Danio rerio: one gene and its partner. The main gene of each other region encodes a partner of the protein of the gene in region 2 in a complex. Links are inferred from orthologs where the notes say so. Each region holds a gene or a part of one and is shown on either strand. Other genes may lie near its edges.

Region 1 (7,641 bases), on a different chromosome or scaffold from region 2:
GCCCCCAGTAAGATGCCACCCTGGGCAATCGCACATATGACCCATGCCTAAATCCGCCACTGTTAGTCAGAACCAAAGCCAAAACTGGGACTAATGTAATAAAAGGTCCAGAAATTAGCACACATAAATGAATATGTTGGGAGAAAATATTAAATCAAATGTTAATAAACAGGGAAAATCAAGAGAAACTAAGAAATATACAAAATTTGATTGATTTTGTGTATATATATTAGGGGTGTCACGATTTCGATTTTTAATCGAGATAGATCGAAATTTATGCTCAACTTCGATTATCGAATCAAAAAATGGAATCGTCGATGCTGCCACGCCCCCATGTCACGTTAGCTTGGCTTGCCAAGCGGGAAAAAAACATGCTTGTTGAAGTGCTTGTTAAACTGCAGAAGCAGGAGACCCGACCACAGAGCTTAAACCCTCTCCTCTTTCAATGAAGTCGCCGGTGTGGAAGTTTTTTGGATTTCCAGTTAGTTATGTTGACAACGTTCGTTTTGTCGACAAAAAAACACAGTTTGCAAGCTCTGCTATGTACGTATTACGGTTGGGATGATAGACGATGGGCGCATCGCGATCCTCCACCCCGCCCCCGTTGCAAATCCGCTCGCGAAAAATACACACTCAGGCCCTGATTACACTAATATATCTTTGTTTTTAAATGGCATTTTAGAACGACAACGATCCACATCCACACTGGCGTGTAGCATTTCTGAGCAGCCCTCCTTCCTCACTACCGCTGAAAACGCACATCACGTGACCACACACACTCATTCACACACATATACAGACGCACACACATTGTCATGCGCTCGAGACAGCGGGTCAAGGCAGTCTGCGAGTCAGTAGACTGCTTCCATCTTTTACTTTCACACAAGTACTTAGTCATTTTAGCGAACACCTCAGATACTGTTGGCTGGTTTCCGTTGGTTGAGCAACTTTTTTACCGACGCCATTATAACGACACAGATCACGAGTGCCGCATTAAAAAGTGATTGACAGGTTGTAATTATGTGTGTAACTTACCTTTATTCATTTACTGTATGATTTGTTTATGGGTAAAACAAAGACCATGCAAGTCAGGTATTTTAAACGGTAGGCTACTAATAATTAATTCGTTATTAATTAATTAATTAATTATTCAAAATCGAAAATCGAATCAAATCGTGACTTTAGAATCGAAAATGTAATCGAATCGAGGATTTGGAGGATCGTGACACCCTTAATATTAATAAATATATACATATATATATATATATATATATATATATATATATATATATATATATATATATATATATATATATATATATATAATTTTTTTTATTTTTAATGGATTCAATTTCATTTGAATTTAAATGTATTATCTTTCTATTCCTATAGATGTTAGGTGACATAACTGTTTAATAAAATCAAACATGTTCATGTATATTGCCTATATTCACTGAGAAATGGATAAAACTATTCATTTTTAAAAGGAAACGTACTCATTTATGCTGAGCACTGCATGTTGTCATGTTTAGCTTGATGAATGTTACACTTTCAGTAGCGTGTTCTTTCTTTTACATGCATTTTATCTAGCAGATAAGTTTGTAGCTGGAACGAGTAATGCTACAACACCTTTCTGAGATCTCCTCTAACATCTCCATGAGTTTCGCAGCCAGACCCAGCCGTCTGAACTCTGGGGCCACAGAGAGGGCAGTGACGTGCCCGTGCCATTCCTCTCTGGCGACGGAGCCCTCGGCCTTTCCCATGACTGCAGGATGACAATGGACATACAGGTTATTCATACAGCAATATTCACAATAAGTTTACCCTTGATTGTGCTGTCGAGGATGTTTTCATCCACTCTGGAGTGATTTTGAGTCTTTATTAGTCCACGACTTTCTCTGTTTCAGCAAATGGAATGATTTTTGCAGACAAATCTTATTTTGATATATATAATTTGGGAAAATGCTTAGACATTTTTCAATACCTCAACAATACACTGGCAAACTACCCTTTCGTTATTTTTGTGGCTGTTTTTGCCCTATTGACTTCCATTATTATGATATTTTTTGATTGCACAGCCATGAGACCATATAATGATGCATTATTGATTGTTGCTGGTTTTCCCTGTAGGAAAGAGATAGAATTTGCTTACTTTTATTGAGCTGCATGTTGAAATTTAGCCTGTGTATGTGTTTTTATCTAGAGCCCTGCCTTTGAGCCCGACGGGACCTGACTTTTTTATGCCCCTCTGGCTGGGCTTCCAGCCAATTTTCACGTCATAGCTAGCACGCATATCGGGCCTGCATTAGGAAAAAACATGCGCATAGAGATTTCCAGCCACGTACAATAGCGAACATAAAGAGAAAAATTGCCAATGGCGAACTTAAAACTGTGAAAAACGCTAGAGGAAGGACAAACTTCTGGTCAACTACTTTAATAGTGACGACTTTAAATGATGAGCCAACTGGTTATGCACAATGCACAACTTGTAAGTCCAGGGGCGCCTGCAGGATTTTATTTCCAATTATGCAAAAATCCAGCACCGTCCTGCCTTATCCCTTATTCTTATTTCAATCTAGGAAACACTGATGCTTGCTGTCAAAGGATACATTATTTAAGGGCATTCGTTATGCCATAATTCGTTTCTTTTTTAATATTAATATAGTTGCTTTGAAATCTAAATATAATAAAAGCAAATCAGCTCAAGGAAAAATCTTTAAAACTATGACCTATTAAAAAATTAGCAAATATATGACAGAGGATTGTGGTTAATTTCCACTGACTGCAACAAATCATCCATCCGCACAGTTGAGTAATGGATAGGCTCAAATAAAAATAAAATTAGTATATTTGTTTTGGAAAATATATTTTGCATTATGCATGTAAACATTTTCAAAGTGTTTATTTCACAGAGGAAACTCAAGTCAGACTTTCAGGTGTGGAATGACATACAGGTGAGTAATCAATGTCTGGTTATTCACTTTTATTTGAAGCTAAAATAAATTAGAAAGAGGCACTCACTGTAGCCCATCAGTTCACCGCCTGGAGCTTCAGCTACTATGAAATACTCCGGCCAATGAGCCAAATACTGAAGATAGAAGGGAATTCCATACTGTTCATTGAAAGTTAAGAAAAACGGACAAGTATGCAAAATACAGAGGAAGACAATTAGTTAGATTAGTGACAAACTGATTAATTAGACAAAGATGTCAGTGAGTTTTTCTTAAAGGATACTGTTTCTGTCAGGGGGTCCAGATTACTGTGGGATAAAAATACAGAAATGTAAATATTAGCCTAGCATATTCATTCAGATGCACACTTACCGGCCACTTTATTAGGTACACCTGTCCAACTGCTCGTTAACCCAAATGTCTAATCAGCCAATCACATGGCAGCAACTTAATGCATTTAGGCATGTAGAAATGGTCAAGATGATTCAAACCGAGCATCAGAATGGGGAAGAAAGGGGATTTAAGTGACTTTGAATGTGGCATGGTGACAAGCTGGTCTGAGTATTTCATAAACTGCTAATCTACAGGGATTTACACGCACAACAATCTCTTGGGTTTACAGAGAATGGTTCAAAAAAGTGTAAATATCCAGTGAGAGGCAGTTCTGTCAGTGCAAATTTGTGCCCATTAGTACCAACTGAGCATCGTGTCAATGCCAGAGTCTACATGAACTGTTGCTGACCATGTGCATCCTTTTATGACCACAGTGTACTCGTCTTCTGATGGCTACTTCCAGCAGGATAACGCGCCATGTCATAAAACAGGAATCAACTCAGACTGGTTTCCTGAACATGACAATGAGTTCACTGTACTCAAATGGCCTCCACACCACAGTCACCAGACTCCAAGCCAATAGAGCACCTTTGGGATGTGGTGAAATGGGAGATTTGCATCAGGGATGTGCAGCCGACAAATCTGCAGCAACTACGTGAATATGTAGCAAAATCTCTGAGGAATATTTCCAGTACCTTGTTGAATCTATGCCATGAAGGATTAAGGTAGTTCTAAAGGCAAAAAAGGGTCCAACCTGGTACTAGTAAGGTGTACCTAATAAAGTGGCCGGTGAGTGTATGTGATCCTAGACCACAAAACCAGTCCTAATTTGCTGTTTTATCTTTGGCATTGGCCAAAAATACACTGAATGTGTCATGATGGTTGACTTTTATGCCAAAATCAAATCATTATTAACATTTTATATATTTCTTACTGCAAAAATATCAAAAATGTTTTGGTTAGTAATGTGCATTCCTATCCACTTCATTTAGACACATCTAAAGGCTATTTTCTCGTTATTTTATTATTTTTAACCCTCAGATTACAGATTTTCATAAGCTATATTTGAATAGTTGTATGTAACGTTATAGTTATATAGTGATACTTATGACTATTTTGTCGTACACGGTCATATGTGGGCAAATACAATAGTAAGCGTCCAATTAATAACATTTATAAAGGCAAAAATCTGATATCACAACTAGATATATGGCTGAACATTACTTGAATCGTCATTATTAATCAGTAATAACAATATATACGTGCACAGTAACGTTAAACCACCAGACATGTACATGTACCATGGTTTTCACGTAAGTACGATGGCGTAGCATTTACATACTAGTTCAAAACACAGTCATTTGAACTTAAATATAACAACTGTAGTGATACCATTGCGAAGTAAAGGCTTAATGGGTATACCATGGTAACGTACTGAGTAACATCGTATCACCCTCACTTTGTAATCAAGCCACAACAGTAGGTTACGTTTCTGAAATTGTGATTATATAACTAGTAATCAAATTACTCACATATTGTTGAATTTAAACAGATCATCGCACGTGAAAGCTCGTAATGTTGTCATTTTCCAGTGTGTTGCAGGACAGGACGACGCTCTGACCTCTCACCCCTACGTCACACGTACGTTTTACTGTTGGTGGTTTGGACAGCGACATCATTCGGCTAAATGGAGGAAAAACACAGGCCGATTTATTCGATGTAAGGTAACTATTCATTTATAACCAATTAATATTCTATACTTAACGAATTCTTTATTTATTAGTTAGTTAGAATTTAATATAAGCTATTAGTAAGACTTTCAGTTCACAAATAGAAAACATGATGCTAGTTTCTTCAAATATTTTACTGTCTATCAAAACTCCTCACATCAGTCTCCTCTTAAATGGACAGTTCATTCAAAAAATGATTATTTATTTACTATTTACTCAATCTCGAGTCCTTTCAAACCTTTATAAGTTTCTTCTGTTTATATTAAACACACTTATTTTAAACACAAAATAAGATTTTTTTTTTGAAGAAAGCTAATGTCCTGTAACTTTAACACTGACCTCCATAGTAGGAAAAATAGGTTTACAACATTCTTCAAAATATCTTTTTTTGGGGTTGTCTTCTTTCCAGTGTTATGGATGTGACATTTGCAGTTAAATCTTGAAACGTAAGTAAGTAGCTAAAGTTTATTTATGAAGCACATTTACAGTAACTTCAGTGTGGCGCTGAACAAAACCATAGCACATATTCTAAAGCAGTAAAATAACAATAAAAGTAATAATAGGAATAATAGTATGACAGCAACAATGCACACAAAATAATAAAAGCCTGGGAAGGCAATTGAATAAAAATGTGTCTTAAGTCTGGACTTAAAAATAGAGATAGAAGAAGCACTCGTAATGTCCGGTGGCAGCAGGTTCCAAAACCAGACTGCAAAGGCTCTATCTCCAGTTTGAATAGTGACCAAGGAATTAGCAATAACATTTTATTTGATGACCTAAGAGGCAGAGGAGTTGACTGTAGGTTAATAAGTTCAGATATAAGGTGCTTGCCCATTCAGTGCTTTAAAAACAGTAAGTAAAACCTTGAACTGAATTCTAACATTAACAGGAGGTCAAGGGATGCTAAAACTGGTGAGATATGAGCTTGTTTTTCGGTGCCTGTTAAAAGTCTAGCTGCCCCATTTTGAACCAACTGCAACCGTGCCAATGAAGATTGAGGGAGACCAACATAAAAGAAATTGCAATAGTCTAGGCGGGACTTGATAAAAGCATGTATGACTTTTCCAGATCTTAAAAGGAAAGAATGGATTTGAGTCTGGAGATGATCCTCAGCTTATAGTAACTATTCTTAACGACTGAGCAAATTTGTTTTCTAGACAAAGCTCTGAATCAAAGATAACTTCTAGATTTTTTACTTGCGATTTAACATATGGTGTAAGACTTCCCAAGCCCACTATATAAGACATTCTTGTTTTTGAGGGGCCGAAGAGAATAACTTCACTTTTGTCATTATTAAGTTTAAGGACGTTTTGTCATTATTAATTAGTGTCTTTTGCCATCCAACAATTAATATGCTGAAGACAATCAATTCGAGACTGCTGGGAGTTCTGAGATTTTAAAAGAACATACTGCTGGGAGTCATCTGCATAATAATGAAAAAAGATGTTATATATCCTTTTAATATTACCAAGAGAAAGCATATATAAATTGAAGAGCATTGGACCCAGAATAGAGCCCTGGGGGACACCACACAGAAGATTGGCAGATGTTGACATAAATTGGCCAACAGAAACTGAAAAAGACCTGGATTTCAGATATGACTGAAACCAATGAAGTGCTGAACCCTTTATGCCCACCCAATGTTCCAGACGTGAAAGGAGTATGGTATGATCGAGTCGACTGTATCAAAAGCAGAGCGCAGATCCATTAAAACCAAAACTGCATTATTGCCAGAATCTTGCCATGCAGGACTTGAACCAGTGACCTTTTTGCTGTGAGGTGACAGTGCTAACCACTGAGCAACCCAAAGACATTGGATCCAACTGTTGAAGAAGTCCAAACATGCGGCTCATAAAAGTAACAACTTTTGACCAATAAGCTCTAATAACATGACAACTCAATAATGAATGAAGAGGAAAAGAGTAAATGATGACAGAGTTTAAGGTGAACTCTCTGTCAGCTCTCTGTGGTGTTATGTAAGTGTGTTTTATATGTGCGGTGAATGTGCTGTTATTCCCTCAGGTGTGTACAGTAGGTGGAGTAATGCAGGATCAGGTGTTGAGTCTCACTTTTAAAAGCGTTCTACGGGTCTCGGTACTTTAGTAAACTCTTTCACTGGAGACTAGCACCTGAAAATGGAGTGGCTTCAGTTCTTTGGGATCCTGGTGTGTTCACTGGTCTGCAGAGGAGCGATGGTTACATCAAGGTTTGATACTTTTTTATTAATTTATTTTATTAAAGTTACATACAGTCGAAGTAAAAATTAATAGACTTTCTTTTATTTTTTTCAAATATTTCCCAAATGATGTTTAACAGAGCAAGGACATTTTACAGTATTTCTGATAATAATATTTCTTCTGGAGAAAGTCTTATTTGTTTTATTTTGGCTAGACCAAAAGCAGTTTTAAATTTTTTAAACACCATTTAAAGGTCAATTTTAGTCAAGGTCAAAATTATTAGCCCCCTTAAGCAATATATATTTTTTGATAGTGTACAGAACAAGCCATCGCTTTACAAAAACTTGCCTATTTACCCTAATTTGCCTAATTAACCTACAGTAGTTAAGTCTTTAAATGTCACTTTAAGCTGAATACTTATAGTAATATCTTAGTCATAGTCTTAGTCTT
Region 2 (7,782 bases):
ACATTGAATGAAATAAAAAATAAATAAACTGAACAATAAACTGAACTGAAAATGGTTTATTTTTGGGTAACTTGTACATCCTATGATGCTAATCCAAAATTAAAGGTATAAAAGCACTGGCAAAGAGGACCAAATGCTTGCAGACACTCAGACGCACAACACAGAGCTCGGACTGTGAGAACGTTCTCTCACCAAATGCTCAATCCAATTCTGAGCGCAGGAACCCCCTCCCTCCTGTCCCAAAAGTCTCTGCTAAAAGAACACAGGACTGTGTCTCATGACAGCTGGATCCCAAAATTAACCAGGCCAGACAGTAGATGCTGAATTTCTGCAAGAGAACAGTTCTGTGTCTCTGTCCAGTAATACATCTAACTAGCATTGTTCCTTCTGTTCAATCACCCACACAGAAACACAGTCTGACTCCAAGCACAAAGCACCAAAATAAAGGTCAGTGATCTGTTGATTGTTATGGATTGGCTAGCGTGGCAGTGAGTCGCTGATATGACCAAAAATAATATAATAACAGTTTGGATCTATTCAAAATGAAACATAGTATTTTTTATAATTTCTATATTATATAATAAATAATAATATAATTGATTGATTCTAGGGTTGTAACAATATACCGGTATGACGTTTTACCACGATTTGAACGTGCACGATTATCATACCATGAACAATTGCATATCAACGGTTTTAACCCTTAAAGACCGAGACAGCCGCCCGCGGCTAAAAATAAGTATTGCTCTTAAATGTTTAATAACTTTTGATCCGCTGATCCGATTCATACAATTCAAAGATTGGCATAAAGAAGAGAATCTCAGCTTTCCAGTGCTGCATCACATAACATTCGCGGACTTTCAGAGGCTCCGGAATCAGTGCGGTTACGTCATCAACATTTGACAACGCTGATTTGACAAAGAAACACTCGTCACTGTGTCTCCGGACAAATCAGACATGATACATTGATGCATTGTCCCTCCTCCATGCCCAGATTGGTTCAAACTCGCTATATCACAACCAATAAGCATAGGTTTCACTTTTGTTTGTGGACCAAGCTTTTTGAACAACACGGAATGAGAGAAAGGCATATATTTATGCACGGCTAAATAAAACGCAAAAAAAAAAAAGTTTTGCATGAAATAATTCTCATACTAAGTACTTTTGCATGCACAGCAGCACAGAAACATGACAAAACAGTGACACAGCTAAGACGAACTGCTGCTCTTGCTGTTTTCAAAAGACGCAAATGAAGATGCAGCTGTTTGTCTGCATTGCATACAACCATATCCAAATCCATATCCACAGACAACCATATCCATGCTGGCACATAAAACCTAAGGATGCTCCATATTGAATCTAGTTTCGTTATGTAACTATTTATAGTATAGTAAATATTTATATCTATTTTTTACTGAGGATTTGCACCATGTTTATTTGGACTTTATTTGGACTTTGACACATTATTTATTATTTTCTTATTTTTTAATTGTTCATTGTAAGTGGTGTTGTTTATAGTAACTAAAAATATATTATTTGGAAAAAGTCAAATTTGCTTCACTGTTCTATTATTTTGTAACATTTGTAACATACCGTATACCGCGAAACCGTCAAACCGTGGTATTGTTTTAGACGATTATCATACCGTGAAAAATTCATACCGTTACAACCCTAATTGATTCATTCATTCATTCTCTACTGCTTTTCCAGGGCTGGGTCGTGTGGGCAGCAGTCTTAGGAGAGAACCCCAGACTTCCCTCTCCCCAGACACTTCCTCCAGCTCCTCTGGAAGGATCGAGGCGTTCCCAGGCCAGCCCAGAGACATAGTCCCTACACCGTGTCCTGGGTCTTCCCCGAGGCCTCCTCCATTTGGGACATGCCTAGAACAGCTCCCTAGGTAGGCGTTCAGGAGGCATCCAAAACAAATGCCAAAGCCACCTCAGCTGACATCTATCGATGTGAGGCGCAGCGGCTCTACTCCAAGCTCCTACCGAGTGACAGAGCTCCTCACCTTATCCATTAAGGTGAACCCCACGAAGGAAACTCATTTTGGCCGCTTGTATCCAAGATCTTGTCCTTTCAGTCATGACGCAAAGCTCATGACAATAGGTGAGTGTAGGAACGTAGATATAATTTAATTTGAAGAAGATATATTATGCAAAAATAACTTCTATAAAAAGATTTAAACACAGACAAGTGGCCCCAGAGTGTAAATATAGCCAGCCTCTAATGCTGCGTTCCCTCCAGATGCGGATGATTTACATGTTAAGTCACTGCTAAGACGAGAATAGACATCCTGCGGCAAGTTTTTGCGCGAATAAGGCGACGCAAATGACGTGACTACGCACGAGTTGAGCTTTTAGTGCGTTCAACAATCTGGTCAAGCTGGAACATTTTAACTTCAGCTGACATTTGCACCACGTTAACCAATCAGGAGCTTGCTCTTGTAGGGGCGTGATTATGATGTAGCGCCTGTTGTTGGTGTCATGAAGAGAAATCCTCTATCCGACAACGGACAACAGCTCATCAAACTGGGCTCGGCTCAGTTTGAATCACCGCTGAAAGCCTTCATCATCCAGGTATAGTTTCTAGAGGAGTTGATGAACTGGGTGCACCTCTGAAAGGATTTAGTTGATCAGACCGGAAATGGGCGTTAATAGTGTCATAATGCAAGTACGCTTTTCCAAATAACACATCATATTTCATCCTTTATAATATTTCATTTAATTATAGTCATTTTAACAATTACATAATGAGGCATTGAAATCCGATTGTGAAAATGGATATCCTAAACAAATAAATAGTAATAATAATAATAATAATGATAATAATAATAGATGTTAAAAATGTCCAAGGTAAAAAGAACTAGAAAAAAGTAACCGATCTATTTTCAGTCATCAGGCACCCACATGAAAGCGTACTATAGTAATTTATAGCAAATACTATAGTGCTTTTTTTATCCATATTGACTCTGACACCTCCGATAGAGATAGAGAGGTTGTGCAACCAGCTAAAATGTGGCTAGAATTGGTTTTTATGTATGGCCGATATATATTGCATCACCAAAATCGATTGAGGTCATGTCCACGTGTTGTGCGATAAATCGATATAAGGATTATTGTGACAGGTCTAGTTAAACATATCAAATGAGGTAAAGTTAATTTTATATTCACACATTCAGACGTTCTCTTCAATAATATAATTTCAGAAAAGCATTGTTTGCTTATTCTAAATAGTAAAAATCATATTATCTAAATACAAAATGATTCACAGTCAAATAAATAGTGCTAATGTTGTTTTGAAGTCCTACTTGCATGTGATTTCAGACCTAATATTTAAAGTATCATGGTAAACAATATAGGTCACAAGTTGTCACTGAATGAATGTGCGAATATAAAACCAACTTTACCTCAATCAAATATCAGTGGTGTAACTCTAGGCAATGTTAAGACTAAGATTTGAAGCATTTAAAAAGTTATTAAAATGGCCTTTCAGCACTCATATTGAGAACATATCCCAAATTTAGACGGCATAGTTCACAAAGAGGCTTAAAAATAAGCTCTAGTACAGAATCAGCAGGTTCATCTCAGCTCATTTAGACATAAAGTGCAGCTTTATGAATCTGTAACATAATTACAAAGGTTATACTAACCTAAACATATCTAAAGGCATGCAAAGCACAAGTCTCGCAGTCTACAAGCATAACAACACAGAAAGAACATGAAATATTAAAGCACAAAAGGCTCATATGTGGCAGTTAATCTCTTTGACATCTCTCACAGGTTAGGAGCTGGATCATCAGATGACATTGTCACTTATGTCCGGATATTTAAAGCGCATTTCTGTGATAAAGGGGCTAAACGCAAAGGTGTTTTGCATCGATATAAGGGTCAGACTGTGACCGCATAAAGACGCACTGTCATAGGGCACCGCAGCCGAACTGAGACCGCGGCTTCAGCTCCACAGGCCTCACCGGCTCTCCACAGCTCCTGCAGCCATTTGATAAACACAACAACGCACTGGTCGGTCTTGCAACACTAGCGAGACCAGCAGGGTCTCCATCAGCCCCACGGTGCGGTTTTTATCTTACCGTAGATAGGTCGTAGCCTCCTGTCGTTAGGGTCTTGCACATGGCCCCTCGCCGCCATGATGGAGCTGAGCAGGATTAATTGATGCGCATGCGCAGAGCGAGCACTCCGGAAAGACTTTAAACGGGAACCTGGGAGTCATGCGTGTCGTTCAGTGTCACTGTAAAAGACACATCTCCCGATGTATTCTGCTTTATGTTTATGGTTCAGACAAGTCATTATCAGACATTGTGAATATTGTTTTCCTAATTGCTAAATATTACAAACACTGCTGTATGCAGGAAGACTCTCCTCCATGCTTTGAACATTTCCGGAACGAACTTAACCGTTGTGTCGAGTTGGGGATGTTTTCATCCACTCTGTCGCGATTTTGAGGCTTAATTTGGCCACAGCTCTCTCTGTTTCAGCTAGCAGAATGATCTTTGGTTACAAATCTTATTTTGACACATATTTTAAGAAAATGCTTTGAAATAATAATAATGAAAAAAAAAAACTCAACGATACTCTCTGGGCAAATTACTACCTTTTTGTTATAGGGATGGAAACATCCACCGAATTAAACTTGTAAAAATGCATCAGATAAATAATTTATTTTATAAATGTTGTTAATCAACCTCAGTCCTGATCAAAACTACTAATCTGCTAAGAAAAATACAGGATTTTACCTATTTAATTGTCAAATTCATAAATGATGTCACTGATTTGGTGAAAAAACACACACAAAATTACGTATTTTCAAAATAAAAGTAATTGAGGACTGGATTTGTTTTTACCTGCATAGTCTACCAATCATCACAAATACTGCAGAAGACCTACAGGAGCCTGCATGGACCCAAGATTCTCACAAAAATCAGTCAAGTTTGGTGAAGGAAAAATCATGGTTTGGAGTTACATTCAGTATGGAGGCGTGTGAGAGATCTGCAGAGTGGATGGCAACATCAACAGCCTGGGGTATCAAGACATTTGTGCAGCCCATTACATTACAAACCAAAGAGAGGGCGAATACTTCAGCAGGATAGCGCTCCTTTTCATACTTCAGCCTCCACATCAAATCTCCTGAAAGCAAAGAAGGTCAAGGTGCTCCAGGATTGGCCAGCCCAGTCACTAGACATGAACATTATTAAGCATGTCTGGGGTAAGATGAAGGAAGAGGCATTGAAGATGAATCCAAAGGATCCTGATGAACTCTGGGAGTCGTGCAGGAACGCTTTCTTTGCCATTCCAGATGACTTTATTAATCAGTGAGTCATTGCAGAGATGTATGGATGCAGTCCTCCAAGCTCATGATGGAGTCAGACACAATATTCATTCTGTCTCCACTGCAGCAGGACTTTATATTCTATACTGGACATTATTTCTGTTCAGTGATGAGACTTTAGTCTAAGCAAAGTCAGACCTTACTGTCCTAATGAAATCATTAAAAATCAAGGCATGATCATGTTATATTCTGATAAAATAAGTGTAATCTAGAGGCCTTTGCCTTTCATATAAGCCACTTCTGATACCAAATGATCAACTAGAAGTCAAGTTATTCTTTTGTTCTACCTAAAACTTGAATAGGCAATAATAATAACAATACATTTTATTTAAAGGCACCTTTCTGGCAACTCAATGACACCGTACAATAAATCAAGAGCAATAAAACAACGAGAAATAATAAAAATATACACAGGAATGGACCAGATAAAATTAAATATTAACAGCCATCTTAAATAAGTGGGTTTTGAGTCTTGATTTGAATAGTGTGAGGGAGTCAATGCTTCTAGTGGCAGGTGGTAGTGAGTTCCAAAGCCGGGAAGAAGAGCAGCTGAATGCTCTGTTGCCCATAGACGAGCAGAGAGAGGAAGAAGATTGCAGGTTGTGAGAAGGAACAGGAACGTGGATGAGGGCAGACAAATATAGAAGGGCGAGATTGTGGATGGTTTTGAGTGTTAACATCGAAATTTTTAAATCAATTCGAAAATAAACAGGTCACCAATGAAGCTGCTGCAGGACAGGGGTGATGTGATGAGAAGAAGGGGTTCTGGTGATGATACAGGCAGCTGAGTTCTGGGACAACTGAAGCTTATGGAGGGATGTAAGAGTGAGACTAAAGGGAACGAGACGTGAAACGAGACGTGACAAGGCTATGGACGAGAACAGCTGTAGCGTGAGGGGTAAGAGAAGGAGGAGACGGGAAATGTTGCGTATGAAGTAAGCAGACCGGGTGATGTTATTGATGTGAGAATCAAAAAATAGCATGCTATCAAGGATGACACCCAGACTCTTAACCTGTTCAGAGGGATAAATGAAACAGTCATCAACAAGACTTTTGTCAGGTAGTGTAGGTGTATTTTACAGGTAAGTATTTAGATGTATTTTACATTTACATTTAGCAGATGCTTTTATCCAAAGCGACTTACAAATGAGGACAAGGAAGAAATTTACACAACTATAAGAGCAACAATGAATAAGTGCTGTAGGCAAGTTTCAGGTGTGTAAAGTGTAAGAAGGAAAGCGTTATTAATTTTTTTTTTTTGTGTAGTTAGTGGAGGAGTCAGAGAGGAAGTTGCATATTAGTAAGGAAAGTGGAGACTAAATAGTTGAGTTTTTAGTCGTTTCTTGAAGACAGCGAGTGACTCTGCCGTTCTGATGTAGTTAGGGAGTTCATTCCACCAACTGGGCAGATTGAATGCGAGAGTTCGGGAAAGCGTTTTCTTCCCTCTTTGGGATGGAACCACGAGGCGACGTTCATTCACAGAGCGTAAGTTTCTGGAGGGCACATACATCTGCAGAAGTGAGAGCAGATAAGAAGGAGCAAAACCAGAAGTTGCTTTGTAAGCAAACATCAGAGCTTTGAATTTGATGCGAGCAGCAACTGGCAGCCAGTGCAAATGGATGAGCAGCGGAGTGACATGTGCTCTTTTAGGTTCATTAAAGACCACTCGTGCTGCTGCGTTCTGAAGCAGCTGAAGAGGTTTGATAGAGTTTGCTGGGAGCCCGGCTAGTAGAGAGATGCAGTAATCCAGTTTGGAGAGAACAAGAGCTTGAACAAGGAGTTGTTCAGATAGGAAGGGTCGGACCTTTCTGATGTTGTAGAGTGCGAATCTGCGAGATCGAGCAGTTCTAGAAATGTGGTCAGAGAAGTTTAGTTGGTCTTCAGTCGTTTACATTCGTTTACAGTTGAAGTCGTTTACATTTTAGAATGATCATATTTCATGATCAGTGGCATCAAAAACATTAAAACATTTAATTTACTGGTCACACTTTACAATAAGGTTCGCTAGTTAATGTTAATTAATGCATTTACTAACATGAACAATATATTTACTACTGTATTTGCTCATGTTAGTTAACGTTAATTAATGAAAATACAGTTGTTCATTGTTAGTTCATGTTAACTCATGGTGCATTAGCTAATGTTAACTAGCATGGACTTGGATGTTATTAATGCATTAGTAAATGTTCAATTATGATTAATAAATGCTGTACATGTGTTGTTCATGATTAGTTCATGTTAGTAAATGCATTAACTAATGAACCTTATTGTAAAGTGTGACCAATTCATTTTATATACCGGTAGTAGAATATAAATACTATGGCACAGTGAATTTCTGTATTCATAATCAATTACACATACATACAGAACTTTTTTATATGTGTTAAATGAAAGCACTCTCCTTTGGGAATTTAAATGGGAGTCATATTACATTTG

Evidence for each region. The genes of interacting proteins can lie anywhere in the genome.
Region 1: the proteins of naa25 (region 2) and naa20 are in contact, whole or in part, in a cryo-EM structure (PDB 7STX), measured with the Homo sapiens proteins. The link is inferred for Danio rerio from reciprocal best matches to the Homo sapiens genes NAA25 and NAA20. Residues at the interface, in NP_079229.2 of Homo sapiens: Ser226, Glu227, Ile228, Asn259, Asp261, Asp262, Trp263, Gln264, Arg318, Arg321, Leu325, Lys362, Pro363, Cys364, Thr367, Asp368, Val371, Leu457, Thr459, Glu460, Leu461, Ser504, Ala506, Leu510, Leu532, Asp533, Lys535, His536, Ile537, Gln538; in NP_057184.1 of Homo sapiens: Thr2, Thr3, Leu4, Arg5, Thr8, Cys9, Asp10, Leu12, Phe13, Phe15, Asn16, Asn19, Leu20, Pro22, Leu23, Thr26, Tyr27, Gly28, Ile29, Pro30, Leu33, Gln34, Leu36, Ala37, His38, Pro40, Glu41, Pro49, Glu52, Met54.

Annotation. Positions count from the first base shown.
Region 1 is NC_133195.1:52,307,121-52,314,761, forward strand, and holds the start of naa20 (N-alpha-acetyltransferase 20), read right to left. Parts: upstream 4,898-7,641; 5' UTR 4,870-4,897; coding exon 4,817-4,869; intron 3,260-4,816; coding exon 3,235-3,259; intron 3,113-3,234; coding exon 3,022-3,112; intron 1,766-3,021; coding exon 1,630-1,765; intron 1-1,629. Other genes in the region: CD109 antigen, read left to right, coding at 7,150-7,220. UniProt on the Homo sapiens protein: Catalytic subunit of the NatB complex which catalyzes acetylation of the N-terminal methionine residues of peptides beginning with Met-Asp, Met-Glu, Met-Asn and Met-Gln. Proteins with cell cycle functions are overrepresented in the pool of NatB substrates.
Region 2 is NC_133185.1:3,867,918-3,875,699, forward strand, and holds the start of naa25 (N-alpha-acetyltransferase 25, NatB auxiliary subunit), read right to left. Parts: upstream 4,183-7,782; 5' UTR 4,149-4,182; coding exon 4,091-4,148; intron 1-4,090. UniProt on the Homo sapiens protein: Non-catalytic subunit of the NatB complex which catalyzes acetylation of the N-terminal methionine residues of peptides beginning with Met-Asp, Met-Glu, Met-Asn and Met-Gln. May play a role in normal cell-cycle progression.